3 linked regions of the Schizosaccharomyces pombe genome follow. The gene in region 1 interacts genetically with each later gene. Each region holds a gene or a part of one and is shown in the gene's direction. Other genes may lie near its edges.

Region 1 (3,655 bases):
TACAGCCCGTAGAGAGAAAGTATCGGACCAAAAAGAGGTTGTTCATGAAGAAAAAAATCAACCCCTCACAGGAAACGAAGTAGAAACATCCGCTCAGCTGTCTCGTGATACTGCCAATGCTGATATTTCTAGTCCGGTTGTGCAAACAGTAGTTCACAAAGAGGCAACTGAAAATCCCACAGCTTCATCCTATAGAAAAGATGATTCAGTGAAACAAAATGAAAAACTTTTGCATTCAAATCCTACTTTTAAAATTTCTAAGCCAACGGTTCTTGAGCAGCCGTTAAATGCTATTGAGCATTTGTCGCCTGAAACCGATTTATCCTCTTCAGCCGAACAGCAATTTATGAAGGAATTAGATTTGTTTTTTGATGAGAACATTCCCCTTTCTCAGCTCAGTGCTGTTAGTGACGGAAAGGCGGATTCTCCGGCTACAAAAAAGTCTCGCCGTTCATATAGAGGTACGTAAATAAAGGGTTAATCTAAAATGCATTATTTAATAACATCATAGAATCTTCTTTGAAAAGAAAAAGTCAATTGATATTGGAAAACGTGGGTACCGACGAGAAAATCATTAACATAAGTGAAACCAAAATGTCTGCTTTATGTGATGATCCTGGAATTGGCCGCAAAAGTCAACGATTTATCGAATTAGAAAAAATGCTTTTTGAGGAAAAACGAGCAAAGAGGATTAAAAAACAAGGAGCAAGTACTGCAAGCTCTAGTCGAGAAGCGTCTTTAGATTCTACCATCAAACAGCCTTTGAGTGCCAGTCTTCTAGAATCAAGCGAACCGAAAGAGAAAGAAGAAATAGTAGGAAGTTTGGAAGAAGAGGGTACGGATGAGTCTGCTTCTCTCGAAGATAGTCTCTCTCACCCAACAAAGTCTATTCTTGATCAGTTAGCAGATAAAATGGAAGTTGATGGTTTGAATAACAACTCCAATTACTCTGCAACTCCTCGTACGCGAGTTGTTAATGGCCAAATTGTTCTGGATGAAACCTCACTAGAAGTCGACCGTCATGAACGTGATTTTGTACCAGCAGAGGAACGCGAATACGTTGAAGAAAATTCTTTAAGTCGTCGGGTTACAAGTGCTACTTGGGGAAATAGGCAGAAACCTGAGAAATGGAACGCTATGGATACTGAAAAATTTTATAAGGTATGGAGGAATTGCGCTCGTATTTACTGACATGGCAGGCTCTATCACAGTGGGGAACTGATTTTGCTTTAATTGCTAATATGTTTCCAACTCGTAATCGTCGACAGATAAAACTAAAGTTTAAACAAGAAGAAAGAAGAAATCCTGCACGTGTTAATCAAGCTTTGAAAATTAAAAAACCTATTGGTAAGACATTGTGTGAGTACTCAAATAATAACCATTTAAATTAGATATGGAAGAATATAGTAAAGTTTCAGGAAAGGTGTTTCGTCCGGTTGAAGAAATGGAGAAAGAATTGCAAAAAATTCGTGAAAATTTTGAAGAGGAAAGACGTCGCGCAATTGAAGTTGCAGAACAAAGACAGCTCATCGTCAACCATGAGCTAGAGCAAGAAAAGAATGCGCCTTCTCCAACCGACGATAAGTCTTATGTATTTGAGGACGGAGTCGAGGTAGTCGGGCAAGTGGTTTAATTTCGTTTTGTTTTTGTGGTTTGATCAATTAATTTTTGTTATTTGTTTTTTTTTTCTGTTTTTAATTTTTCTTTAGATCTTTTTTGAAGTTTTCTTATAGAGTTTAATTGAACCTATTTATTTAATGTCGCAAACATTTCACCATATATATCGTATATTTCACTAAACTGATGTATATTTGTTTCTAAAGATATATTAAGCAAGAGTTAAATTAGGATATATCAAAACAGTTCATTGAGAAAATACTAGTTTACTTATTGCTAGTTTGTCGTGAAAATTTTTATTCTTACATTCCGTTTAACTCGCTTTTTATTTTAAAGATTAAGCAAGCGAGTAAGAGAACATTGGGTTACACCTAAATTTGTATCCACGAGTAGTGAAGTGTCTTTAGCCAAATAATTGAAAACAATCGTTTTCATTCATATGGGGAAAAAGGCTCGTTTTAAAGAAGCAAGACGTCTTCAAAAAAGAAATTTAAATAATGCTATTGGTTCGTCAAGTATAAATAGCCAGAATTCTTTAACAAACGACAAAATTGGAAAAGGGAAGAACAAAGGCCCCACTGAGCGATATGTACTCCCATTTGAAAAAAACAATAGATTTCTATTATTGGGAGAAGGCAACTTTTCGTTTGCTTTTTCATTATTGCTACATCATGTATCATCTGAGGGGTTTGTGTTAGCTACCAGCTATGACTCTAAAGAAGATTTAAAGCAGAAATATCCAGATGCTGCTGAATACATCTCAAAAATAGAAATAAATGGGGGAAAGGTTATGCATGAAATTGATGCAACGAAACTGCATCTGCATAAAAAGCTTAAGACACAAAAATTTGATACTATATTTTGGAATTTTCCTCACTCGGGGAAAGGAATTAAGGATCAAGACCGCAACATTTTGGATAATCAAAGTAAGTTTGAAGTTAAAGTTTTTTATTCGTAAATAATTTAAAAAATAAATTTGGAAACGCCGTTCATAATAGCTTTTATTACTTTTAATGAGACATATCTCGAATATCGCTAATTAATTCTAGAAATGCTTCTTGCCTTTTTTAAAGCATCTAAATTCCTTCTGTCAGAAAAAGGCGTAATTGTAATAACTTTAGCGGAGACCAAACCTTACACTTTGTGGAATTTGAAAGGTTTAGCCAAGGATGCAGGGTATACGAGTCTGATGACTGAAAAGTTTGACTCTTCTTTTTATCCCGAATATTCACACAGAAGAACTATCGGTTGGATTGATGGAATCAGCGAGAGATCGCCATGGAAAGGTGAATTGCGAGATTCACGACATTATTGCTTTGTGGTGAATGGAAGTAATATAAAGCCTTACAACCAGAGGAAGGAAAAAAGGAAGCGTAGTGAGCTCTCCGATGATTCAAGTGATTCTTCCTAAGGTTTTTATCCTAAGTGAATTTGAGAATAGCAGAAGATACTGTATATAGTAATACTGAGATTGGCTGATGTCAATATCGACTACCAACGTGCTTTTTTCAACGCCATATATTAATCTACATTCCTTTAAATCTTCATTAATTAATTAATTTATTTACGAATTATATCTTGTAATGACAAATTCTAGACGGCATATATTTGAACGCATATGTGCTAAGGCTTTTCAGTCCAGTTTAACCTGCTCGATTTTTGGATTCACTGTACTGCTTATCTTATATCTATTAGATTGGAAACGGATTGCCCAAGTTCCAGGACCTAATTTGCTAAAAGATTTGGAGTTTCAACGAGCTTGGAATGACCTAGAGTATATATCAAGTTTGCCTCATCCCTATAATTCCAAGCAAAATGAACATGTTCGATCCTACATACTAAAAAGTATGCGAGAGCTGGAAGCTACAAATCAATCATATATTACAGTTATCGATGATACTTTAACAAACATTACTTTCGAATCGACTGACAACGATACTCTTACATATTTTGAAGGAGATAACATTCTTGTTAAATTCGAAGGGAAATCGAAGGATTTGTTTCCCATACTCCTGTCAGCACATTTTGATTCTGTATC
Region 2 (3,691 bases), on another chromosome or scaffold:
GTCGAGATGAGCTTTGTAAAAGGAGTGAACTATTTGAACGAGTACTTCCCTTACGACAAAATCACATGGCTGTTTCTTTGAAAGCAAAAGGGAAATCAATCGCTCGACATTATAAGTGGATTGAGATAAACATTCCAATCCGCGCTAGGAAAAACGTTAGCAATTGTCAAAGGCAATGAAGACATAGGTCTAAATGTATATCACATGCATACCTGAACAGTGCACATGGCTTTAACGCAAAGTAAAAGTTGCTCCAGTATAGAATCGTGCAGTTCCTCTCTCCATTCAAGGCGAGAGATTTTGTCGATTGTACAAAATACTACACCGAAACCGCCGTTGTGTATAAACTTCTCTACCCATCTGTATTGCAGTTAGTATGAAAAACCTCAAAATAAACGAATGATTTATCATTCAATCAAAACAATAGTAGTGCCAAAAAAAAAGATAATTTAAGCATCACCACTTTGATTCACGTAGCTGCACAAAATGTAAACATACATTACTTGCTCGTTTCTGAGAAGTAGAGCTAATTTGTGTATGATAGATTCATCGATTGAGTCAATTTTTGTATTTACAATATACGAAATAAAGTCGTCAGGTTGCTCGTAACATGGTTTTTTACGCATCCAAGCAATTAATTTATTTCGCTTTTTCTGGTCTTTTTGCTGTAAACTGGACACGATTTCCATTTTAATTCCTTCATTAAGGGAAAGTAAACTCTTTGAGGCCTCTGAAGAAAGAACTTGAGGCTTGATTAAATCTTCAAAACATTGTGGCATTTCATCTTCAGAAGGGGTTGAAGGAGTCTGAAAGCTCAAGCTATCCTCTCGATCAGAAGAATTAACGCTTTCAGAGAGCCCATCAGAGCTCAAAGAGCGAGCACCTAAAAGCCGTTTTACTGAACGTAGAGAATTCATAATGTGTGTAAGGAATAGTCGTGTGGTATATTTACATAGAAATGGGAGGGCTGGTATATATTAAAATGGCACGCTGACGCGTCCGAGGAACAAGCCACAGGAACATGAAACGGACAATATCGGGAATTAATTCAATAATTAGGCTAATACGCGGAACGGTTGTTCCAATTTTTAATATGTACAATACTAAGCTATGGCCCTAGACTTAGGGAAGGAAAATAGCACATGAATGTTCGAAAAAAAAAAAGAGAAAGCTTCCGTTATTTAATAAACCATACTATTTACGCCTATCATTATTTTCATTAATAGCTATACATAGTAAATCCAACTTGCAAAATTTTGAGATTACGCGTGTTGAGTTAATGTTTGATATTGGTATATACACTATCGTATGTAAGTCAAATGAGAAGAATGGAAAAATAAGAATGTATTGAGCTTTAAGATATAGTAAATCTCGGTCTATTTTGGGTAAGAATTTTAATATGTACTTCTCAATTATCTGGAATTCACTGAAGGTTGTGAAAAGGAAAAATATTTCGGACATCCAAAATTTGCTATTATAATGAAGGTGCAACTAACTGAGTAGTAGAACCGATATCTAAAATAAATTGATTATTTGGAAATGTATGGTTAAACAAGAAGGCTCATATTACCTGAACTAACATAATGTCGTTAAAAATTACAGTTCAAAGCAGTGCTGAAATTATACTAGAATTCTGGTACATTAAAACGCGTCGCTTATAATAGAATCACTTCTTTCTATCAATAGATTAAACATACAATTTTGCTATTTCACGTAGGGATGTAGTAAAGTGAGAGAAGTAGGTGGGACATACATTTCCTACTCAGCACAACGTAACGTGCTTAGTGTCAATATCATGGGGACGAGTGGAATTGAAATATTTGCAGCTTTAAATGATTTCACAGATGGTAAGAGGCGAAAATAAACACATTGATTAACATTTTACAGCCATTGTTTCAGTCCCTGAATCAGTATGTGGAAAATTCACGAGTTTGAAAGAGATCGATGCACAAGTACGAGGTAAGTGAAATATATATTTTTAAAACGTGTGGTTAACAAAATCTTAGATATCCGTCAAAATGTCATACAGGAAATTGGTGTGGTTCTAAAAAACGAGAAAAATGACGAATTGTCAGGAGAAGAAAGATGTGAGCGATTACAAAAGACACTAAAAGAGATACTTCCATATTCTGATTCAAAGATTTGTTTGGCCACAGACGCAATGAATAATATCAAGAGTTGTATCGACCGTTTGGATGCTGGGTTTGAATATGTTGAATTGGAGATTCCCCAACAATTGAGATTGGGATATCCAGACGATCGAGCTTTAATGAATTATCATTCTACTGTGACTCCTCAAACTTCTGAAAGGAGACGGGAAACCCGTCGGCATCAAAATAACCAGCATTCCCAGCAATATTCCTCTCAGGAACGGTCGTCTTCATATAACAACTTTGAAGACGCTTCATCGCCGCAATCTTCTTATCACACCCCTACAAAGCGTCGAAAAAATGCTGTTCCTAGAAAATCATCATCACCTCCATTATCGAGTACAAAGCATGCGCCGCAATCTACGGAGAGGCGACCAGTGCGGAGATCAGAATCTCGTTTAAAACAGACAAATGGGGAACCACTTGTCAAACACGACACATTAGATTCAAGTGATATCAGCCGTGAAGGTGAGCAACTTTACTGTTACTGTCAACAAGTTTCCTATGGACAAATGATTGGATGTGATAACGAAAATTGTAAAAGAGAATGGTTCCATTTACCTTGCGTTGGTCTAGTAGAACCACCGAAGGGGATCTGGTATTGTAAAGAATGTGAAGAGTTAGCAAAATCATCTGAAAGTCGTCAATGAGCCGGGATCCTTTTTATTTTCTTTCACCTTCTTTTTATTGTTAATTTCTCAGTGTTTGACATCGTTATGAAACATCCATTACCACTGCTTGCATTGCTCTTGTTTACTGAATCAATTAAACTAACGACAACATTTCTATACCTCATAAAACCCTTATAACGATTTTTATGGTTTCGTTAAAGGATACAACCATCAGCTACGTATCTCGGTATACTATTTAATGATATGTAAAACTACGGTGTGTTTTGTTTGCAATCTACAAAAAGCGGATGCAATATGTATGAGTAAGTAATATTATAATTATTTTTATTAGAAATTTGTTAGTAACTAGTCATTGAAGTAAGGAAGCAATTTTAGGCGCAAACTTTATTAAATTTTTTCTTTGAATTTGTTTTGTTAGCTTACATACTTGTTAATAAATGGAAATTCCTTCATGCATGTTTCAAAAGCGAATTTAAATAGTATTCAAAGTAATGACAAATAGTGATACACAACATAGTGTATCATAGCTTAGTGCATTATTACTGACACACATCTATAGCAAATATATCTCTCTCGTTATTTTTTTAAGGATACCTCCTTGCATTACGTCTAAATGCTTTTACTAATGGATTTTCCAACTTATCGTTTCCCTCCTTCTCATCTAAAGTAATTCTTAAAATTGGGATTTTCTTGAATTTTAAATACTGTTTTTATTTGTGTTACAAAAAAGTTAATTAACAGTTTCTTGTCCAAATCTCGTTGAATTTTTGATCATCTGATAATGAAGTACCAATTTAACGTTGCTATGGCTTGTGATGGCTGCAAAAATGCCATCGATCGCGTTTTAACTCGTCTGGGTGCGTTTTAAAAAAAGTCATTTTTTAAGTATTTAGATTTACATTTATATAA
Region 3 (7,648 bases), on another chromosome or scaffold:
AGAGGAGTTAATGAATGACTTTGAAAAAAAGCTTTCGAAACTAGCTTGGAAAGAATATGCCACCGCTGATGGCAAAAAGTATTGGTATAATGTCAATACCCGTGAATCAGTGTGGGATATTCCTGATGAATATAAAGCTGCCCTTGTTGATGAACCGGAACAGCAAAAAAAGGCTTTGTCGTCTAAAATCAAAAGCAATGACAACAAGCCAGCTGTTCAAAGCATTCAACGGCATGGTCCGGATGTTGCTGCTCCTTCAAGTCAACCAGCTAAAGATCAAAGCCAACAAATTTCACAAGGCAGTCATAAACGAACTATAAACTTTGTTCAACAAAAGGATAAGCGCCAAAAACGTTCTAATGATTATCAGCACGAAAACTATGATACCTATGAAGCCGCAGAGCGCGCTTTCTTTAAATTTTTAGACTCTCATAATGTCAACCCAAGCTGGACTTGGGAGCAGACTGTCCGAGAGCTTTGTGATGCTAAGGGCTATTATGTCATGAAGGATCCTTGGCATCGGAAATGTGCTTTCGATGCGTACATCTTAAACTATTTGACCGATCAAAGTGATGCAGAAAAGAACCGAGTAACTAAGATTAGGAAGGAGTTTATTGAGATGCTAAAAAGTAGTGATAAAATTCATTCTTATACTTTGTGGCGTACTGTGAAGAATGAATTTTCTTCTCATCCTGCTTTTAACGCTACTTCTTCTGAAACTGAACAACAACAACTATTTTTTGAATATAAGCAAAAGCTTTTAGAGGATGAAAAGCAGTTGGAAAAGGATCGCAGAAAGGAAGCATTGGATGATTTTTGTTCGCTTTTGCGAAACATGAATTTCGAGCCTTACACCCGCTGGAGCGTTGCGCAAGCAAAATTTGATCAAGATCCAAGGTATACAAGGAATTCAAATATGAAATATCTTTCTAAATTAGATGCTCTTGTAGCATTTGAAGATCATGTTAAGCATTTGGAACGCGAATATATTCTTGACAAACAAAAGCAGAAGAAAGAAAAGCATCGTATAGAAAGGAAAAATCGTGATGCCTTTCGTGCGCTATTACAAGACTTACGCGTGCAAAAGAAGATTACATTACGCACGAAGTGGAAAGAATTATATCCCATAATCAAGGATGATCCAAGATATCTTAACTTACTAGGGCAATCTGGCTCTACACCATTAGATTTATTTTGGGATACGATCGTTGATTTGGAGAATATGTATCGGGAAAAGCGTAATTTGGTTTTGGACTGTCTTGAAGTATTGCAAATATCTGTGGATGACACATCTAATATTCCTGAAATTATAGCAAGGTTATCAGAAAAGCTTAAAGATCGAGAGGAAAGTGAGGCAGTAACTGAAGACCTTATTGAAGAAGTTGTTAATCGATTACGTGATAAAGCGATCCACAAAAAAGCTGAGGAAAAGCGTGCTGATGAACGACGCATTCGAAGGAAAATTGATAATCTCAGAAGTGCCATTAAATACCTTAAACCTCCAATTTCTGCCGATGCTTCTTACGATGAAATTAGACCTTTAATTTCTATTCTACCGGAATTTGCTGCGCTCCATTCCGAGGAACACAGGATGGCTGCTTTTGACAAATATATAAGACGGCTTCGAGAAAAACGGGAATTGGAAAAGCAATACCAAAACAGAAGAGGTTATTATGATGTCGGTAAAGATGAAAGTTATTTAGCGAATAGTGCCCGACCACATAGCGGATACGAAGATGGAAGGTTGGAATATTCTGCTGACTTAGCGTCAAAAAGTAATAGGAATGAAATTAATACGATGCAGGATGTACAGGAAAATTCAATCTCTCATGTTACCGCTACACAACCGGCTGTTAAAAATATTGTTGATGATGCAGAATCTAGTGAAGAAGGTGAAATTCGTTAGTATTCAAGTTAGAAATTTAATTGTTAGTGCGTTTAATACACATGCATTTTAATGTTCTCTCAACTCGCTTTTTGTATTCATACAGTTTGATTACCTTTAGTAGCGGATACAGCCTGTAGCTATTTGAACCTCTACCACCAGTACCTCAAAAATTGTTTTTGTAACAAAACTAGCAAGTTGCTATTAAAATAGCAAAATACTGCTATAAGCGTTCTATTTAATAACGCGTAAGTAAATTTTTATTAAATTTTGTTGCAGCCACAGTTCGTTTTCCGAATTTGACGCTGAATATGTGAATGATCCACGTGTCGCATTTTTTTGTTAAACCTACATTGTTCAATGCACTGAATGTAGCTCTCTTTTTTTAAAAACCTTCTTTCTTATTATGTTTTGCTTGTTTCTCTTGTGATACAATCTTTTTGGTGGCATTCGACCTTTTATTCAAAATTGCTCTTTCTTCGAAAATGAACGATATAGTGCTTCCTATCGAAAAGATACGGGAGTTAATATGTGTTCTTTATTTAAATCTGTTCGGATCTCGTCTAAATATAGTCGTTAGTCAAGAGTTATAAATATTCACATTTAAAGTGGCATCTGGCAGTTCTCAGTTAACTAGAAGTTGGATGGAAGCCTATTACATATTTCACAATTATTCAGCATTTCAATTTCGGAAAAGTTTTGCAATAAGAAATTTGCGAAATTGGTTCTAACTTCTGTTTTAGTTGATATGAGTACAAGTGCTATAGCACTTGCTTTGTCATCATCTAAGGCTATTGAGCAGCTGGATCACGTTCAAACTGAAACCCCTAATCTTAAGCAGGAAATGTCCGAATCCCCTTCGAATAGCGGCGTAGCCTCCAAGCGCAAATTACAATCTACTGAATGGCTCGACCCAGAGCTTTACGGTCTTCGACGTTCTGTATGTCTCACATTATTTTATTCATTATGAAACTTACTTAGATGCTAATCATTATAGGGTCGCACTCGTAGTAATCCAGGAAGATATGTAGACACTGATGATCAAGAAGATGTGTTCCCATCCAAGCATCGTAAAGGTACTAGAAATGGTTCATCTTTTTCTCGTCATCGAACAATTCGCGATTTAGACGATGAAGCTGAATCTGTCACCTCTGAGGAAAGTGAGTCAGATGATAGTTCTTATGGCGGAACTCCCAAAAAGCGATCTCGGCAAAAAAAATCAAACACCTACGTTCAAGATGAAATTCGATTTTCTTCTAGAAATAGTAAAGGTGTTAACTATAACGAAGACGCGTATTTTGAATCGTTTGAAGAAGAAGAGGAAGAAGAGATGTATGAGTACGCAACTGAAGTTTCTGAAGAACCTGAAGATACACGAGCTATAGATGTCGTTTTAGATCATAGACTTATTGAAGGACACGATGGCTCTACACCTTCTGAAGATTATGAGTTTTTAATTAAATGGGTTAATTTTTCTCATCTTCATTGTACATGGGAACCTTACAATAACATTTCTATGATCAGAGGATCTAAAAAGGTCGACAATCACATTAAGCAAGTCATACTTCTTGATCGAGAAATTCGAGAAGATCCGACCACTACGCGTGAAGACATTGAAGCAATGGATATTGAAAAAGAGAGAAAGCGTGAAAATTACGAGGAATATAAGCAGGTAGACAGAATTGTTGCCAAACACTTAAACTCCGATGGCTCAGTTGAATACTTAGTGAAATGGAAGCAGCTGTTATATGATTTTTGCACATGGGAAGCTTCCTCAATTATTGAGCCTATTGCTGCCACGGAAATTCAGGCATTTCAAGAAAGAGAAGAAAGTGCTCTTAGTCCATCAAGAGGTACAAACTATGGTAATTCGCGTCCTAAGTATCGAAAACTGGAGCAACAGCCTTCGTATATAACCGGTGGTGAGCTTCGTGACTTTCAGCTTACAGGCGTCAACTGGATGGCATATCTTTGGCATAAAAATGAAAATGGGATTTTGGCCGATGAAATGGGTCTCGGTAAGACAGTCCAAACTGTGGCTTTTCTTTCATATCTTGCACATTCTTTAAGACAGCATGGACCTTTTCTTGTAGTTGTTCCACTTTCTACAGTTCCTGCCTGGCAAGAGACATTAGCTCTTTGGGCTTCTGATATGAATTGTATAAGTTACCTTGGAAATACCACCTCAAGGCAAGTAATAAGGGATTACGAATTTTATGTTGATGGAACTCAGAAAATAAAGTTCAACTTGCTTCTAACTACTTATGAGTATGTACTCAAAGATCGCTCGGTGCTTAGTAATATAAAATGGCAATATATGGCAATTGACGAAGCTCATCGATTAAAAAACAGTGAATCGTCACTTTATGAAGCACTTTCTCAGTTCAAGAACTCAAATCGATTACTTATAACTGGAACACCATTACAAAATAATATTCGTGAGCTTGCGGCTTTGGTAGACTTCCTGATGCCAGGAAAGTTTGAGATTCGTGAGGAAATTAATTTAGAAGCACCAGATGAGGAGCAGGAAGCTTATATTAGAAGTTTACAGGAGCATTTACAACCCTACATTTTACGAAGATTAAAGAAAGACGTTGAGAAATCTCTTCCTTCTAAGTCTGAACGTATCCTTCGTGTTGAGCTTTCTGACTTACAAATGTACTGGTACAAAAATATTTTAACTCGCAATTACCGTGTCCTTACTCAAAGCATAAGTTCGGGAAGTCAAATATCTTTACTAAACATAGTTGTGGAGTTGAAAAAGGCAAGTAATCATCCTTACTTATTTGACGGAGTAGAAGAGTCATGGATGCAAAAAATAAACTCTCAAGGAAGACGAGATGAAGTCTTAAAAGGTTTAATTATGAACAGCGGGAAAATGGTGTTACTTGACAAACTTCTATCACGTCTTCGTCGAGACGGCCACCGCGTTTTAATTTTTAGTCAAATGGTTCGTATGCTTGACATTCTTGGTGATTATCTTTCTTTGAGGGGATATCCACATCAGAGACTGGATGGCACTGTCCCTGCTGCTGTACGAAGAACTTCAATAGATCATTTTAATGCACCAAACAGCCCAGATTTTGTGTTTTTATTATCCACACGAGCTGGAGGATTAGGTATTAATTTAATGACTGCTGATACAGTTATTATTTTTGATTCCGATTGGAACCCTCAAGCTGATTTACAAGCTATGGCACGTGCGCATCGCATTGGTCAGAAAAATCATGTTATGGTATACAGGCTTCTTTCCAAAGATACGATTGAAGAAGATGTCTTGGAACGTGCACGTCGTAAAATGATTCTTGAATATGCAATTATTTCATTAGGTGTTACAGACAAGCAAAAGAATTCCAAAAATGATAAATTTTCTGCTGAAGAGCTTAGCGCTATTTTGAAATTTGGAGCTTCTAATATGTTTAAAGCAGAGAATAATCAAAAGAAGCTTGAGGATATGAATTTAGATGAAATTTTGGAACATGCCGAAGATCATGATACTTCCAATGATGTGGGTGGAGCCAGCATGGGTGGTGAAGAGTTTTTGAAACAGTTCGAAGTTACAGACTATAAGGCAGATGTATCTTGGGATGATATTATACCCCTAACTGAACGTGAGAAGTTTGAAGAGGAAGACCGCTTAAGAGAAGAGGAAGAAGCGCTTAAGCAAGAAATTGAGCTTAGTAGTAGACGAGGTAATCGTCCTTATCCTAGCTCTGCGGTGGAATCCCCATCCTACTCTGGAACTTCTGAAAGGAAGAGCAAAAAGCAAATGCTTAAAGATGAGGTTTTACTGGAAAAGGAAATTCGGTTGCTTTATCGTGCTATGATTAGATATGGAAGCCTTGAGCATCGCTACAATGACATTGTTAAATATGCTGATCTTACTACGCAAGATGCTCACGTAATAAAAAAGATTGCAGCTGACTTAGTAACCGCTTCACGCAAGGCTGTATCAGCAGCCGAGAAGGACTTATCTAATGATCAGTCTAATAATAAGTCATCTCGTAAAGCGCTGCTCATTACATTTAAAGGTGTAAAAAATATAAATGCTGAAACATTGGTACAAAGGCTAAATGATCTTGATATTCTTTATGATGCTATGCCAACGTCAGGATATTCTAACTTCCAAATTCCAATGCACGTTAGATCTGTTCACGGCTGGTCCTGTCAGTGGGGACCCCGAGAAGATTCCATGTTGCTTTCTGGAATTTGTAAGCATGGATTTGGAGCTTGGTTAGAAATTCGAGATGATCCAGAACTCAAAATGAAAGACAAGATCTTTTTAGAAGACACAAAACAAACAGACAACTCTGTCCCCAAAGATAAAGAAAATAAAGAGAAAAAGGTACCTTCAGCTGTGCATTTGGTTCGTCGAGGTGAATACCTACTTAGTGCTTTACGTGAGCATCACCAAAATTTTGGCATAAAATCAAGCCCCGCTATTAGTACTAATGGAAAAACTCAACCTAAGAAGCAGACGGCTAATCGCAGACAAAGTGGCAAGCCTAACGTTAAATCTGCGCAAAAAATAGAGAGTGCAACTAGGACACCATCGCCTGCAATTTCAGAATCTCGTAAGAAACCTTCTTCTAAAGACACGAAGATTGAAACACCTAGTAGGGAACAGTCTCGCAGCCAGACAGCTTCACCCGTCAAATCTGAAAAAGACGATGGTAATGTAAGTCTAAATGCTGAACAAAAGGCACGCTGCAAAGAACTGATGTATCCAGTCCGTAAGCATATGAAAAGACTTCGGAAAGATTCTAGTGGGCTTGGACGCGCGGAGTTGGTGAAGTTACTTACTGAGTGTTTGACAACGATTGGAAAGCATATTGAAAAAACTGTCAATGATACACCCTCCGAAGAAAAAGCTACTGTTAGGAAGAATTTATGGATGTTTGCATGTTACTTTTGGCCGAAGGAGGAGGTTAAATATACCAGCTTGATCAGCATGTATGAAAAGATGAAGTAGATTTTAGCCTGTCATACAAAAGCCAATTTGTTTCTTCATTTTTCATCCGGAATATTTTAGGTTTGAAGCTCGAATATGTTTATCTTTTACAGTCTTCAATTTTGATTGCTACATTTCAAAGATCACTAAATTCTAGTCTAAAAATCGTTTCTTATTGTACCTTTAATTATAATGTTAATAAACCCTGCATTTCAAATCTTGACTTTAGGAAATCCTCCGGTATTCAGAACATAGAGTCAGCATAGATAAGAATAATCCAGTAATACAATTTGTTTTTAATTGAAATATCAATGGCAAACTGCTATTTATTAGTCTGCAACTTTATGCAGTTTGTAAATATAATAGTGTAACTCAGTAGACATCGTTACCAGTGAAAAGTTCATTCAAACATCACAGTACGGCAGGGTTCACCTTTCACACCAAATCACGTTTATAAATTAGAATGTCTCGTGCGGCCTTACCAAGCTTAGAAAGTACGTTACAAATTATTTAGAGTGGCTTTCGAGTACTATTTATTCGATATGCTAATGTCTATGATTTTTTCGTTGGCCTAAAGACGTTTACTAACATAATGCTTAGACCTTGAGGATGATGATGAGTTTGAAGATTTCGCAACAGAAAGTAAGTACTTTTAAAGAAATAATTATTTAACATCAAAAAGATTGGCCTATGAAAGATACAGAGCTTGATACTGGAGATGATACGCTATGGGAAAACAATTGGGACGATGAGGACATTGGAGACGATGATTTTTCTGTTCAATTACAAGCAGAGTTAAAAAAGAAGGGTGT

Evidence for each region. Genes that interact genetically often act in the same process or in processes that back each other up.
Region 2: mutations in bmt5 (region 1) and png2 together harm fitness more than expected from each alone (negative genetic interaction), as found in Schizosaccharomyces pombe (2 studies listed by BioGRID).
Region 3: mutations in bmt5 (region 1) and hrp3 together harm fitness more than expected from each alone (negative genetic interaction), as found in Schizosaccharomyces pombe (2 studies listed by BioGRID).

Annotation. Positions count from the first base shown.
Region 1 is NC_003421.2:2,235,525-2,239,179, reverse strand, and holds bmt5 (rRNA (uridine-N3-)-methyltransferase Bmt5), read left to right. Parts: upstream 1-2,022; 5' UTR 2,023-2,056; coding exon 2,057-2,543; exon of another isoform or gene 2,544-2,666; coding exon 2,667-3,028; 3' UTR 3,029-3,119; downstream 3,120-3,655. Other genes in the region: transcription factor TFIIIB complex subunit Bdp1, read left to right, coding at 1-461, 512-1,161, 1,200-1,347, 1,392-1,633; erm2 (aminopeptidase), read left to right, coding at 3,201-3,655.
Region 2 is NC_003423.3:1,120,054-1,123,744, reverse strand, and holds png2 (chromatin modification family protein Png2), read left to right. Parts: upstream 1-1,783; 5' UTR 1,784-1,795; coding exon 1,796-1,847; exon of another isoform or gene 1,848-1,887; coding exon 1,888-1,959; exon of another isoform or gene 1,960-2,006; coding exon 2,007-2,800; 3' UTR 2,801-3,084; intron 3,085-3,140; 3' UTR 3,141-3,163; downstream 3,164-3,691. Other genes in the region: GTPase-binding protein Rid1, read right to left, coding at 1-144, 213-360, 499-917; Cu chaperone Atx1, read left to right, coding at 3,564-3,639.
Region 3 is NC_003424.3:5,375,794-5,383,441, forward strand, and holds hrp3 (CHD family chromatin remodeller Hrp3), read left to right. Parts: upstream 1-2,030; 5' UTR 2,031-2,133; exon of another isoform or gene 2,134-2,622; intron 2,623-2,628; 5' UTR 2,629-2,633; coding exon 2,634-2,825; intron 2,826-2,882; coding exon 2,883-6,857; 3' UTR 6,858-7,120; downstream 7,121-7,648. Other genes in the region: U1 snRNP-associated protein Prp40, read left to right, coding at 1-1,906; proteasome receptor/ubiquitin ligase adaptor Dss1, read left to right, coding at 7,300-7,330, 7,437-7,478, 7,519-7,648.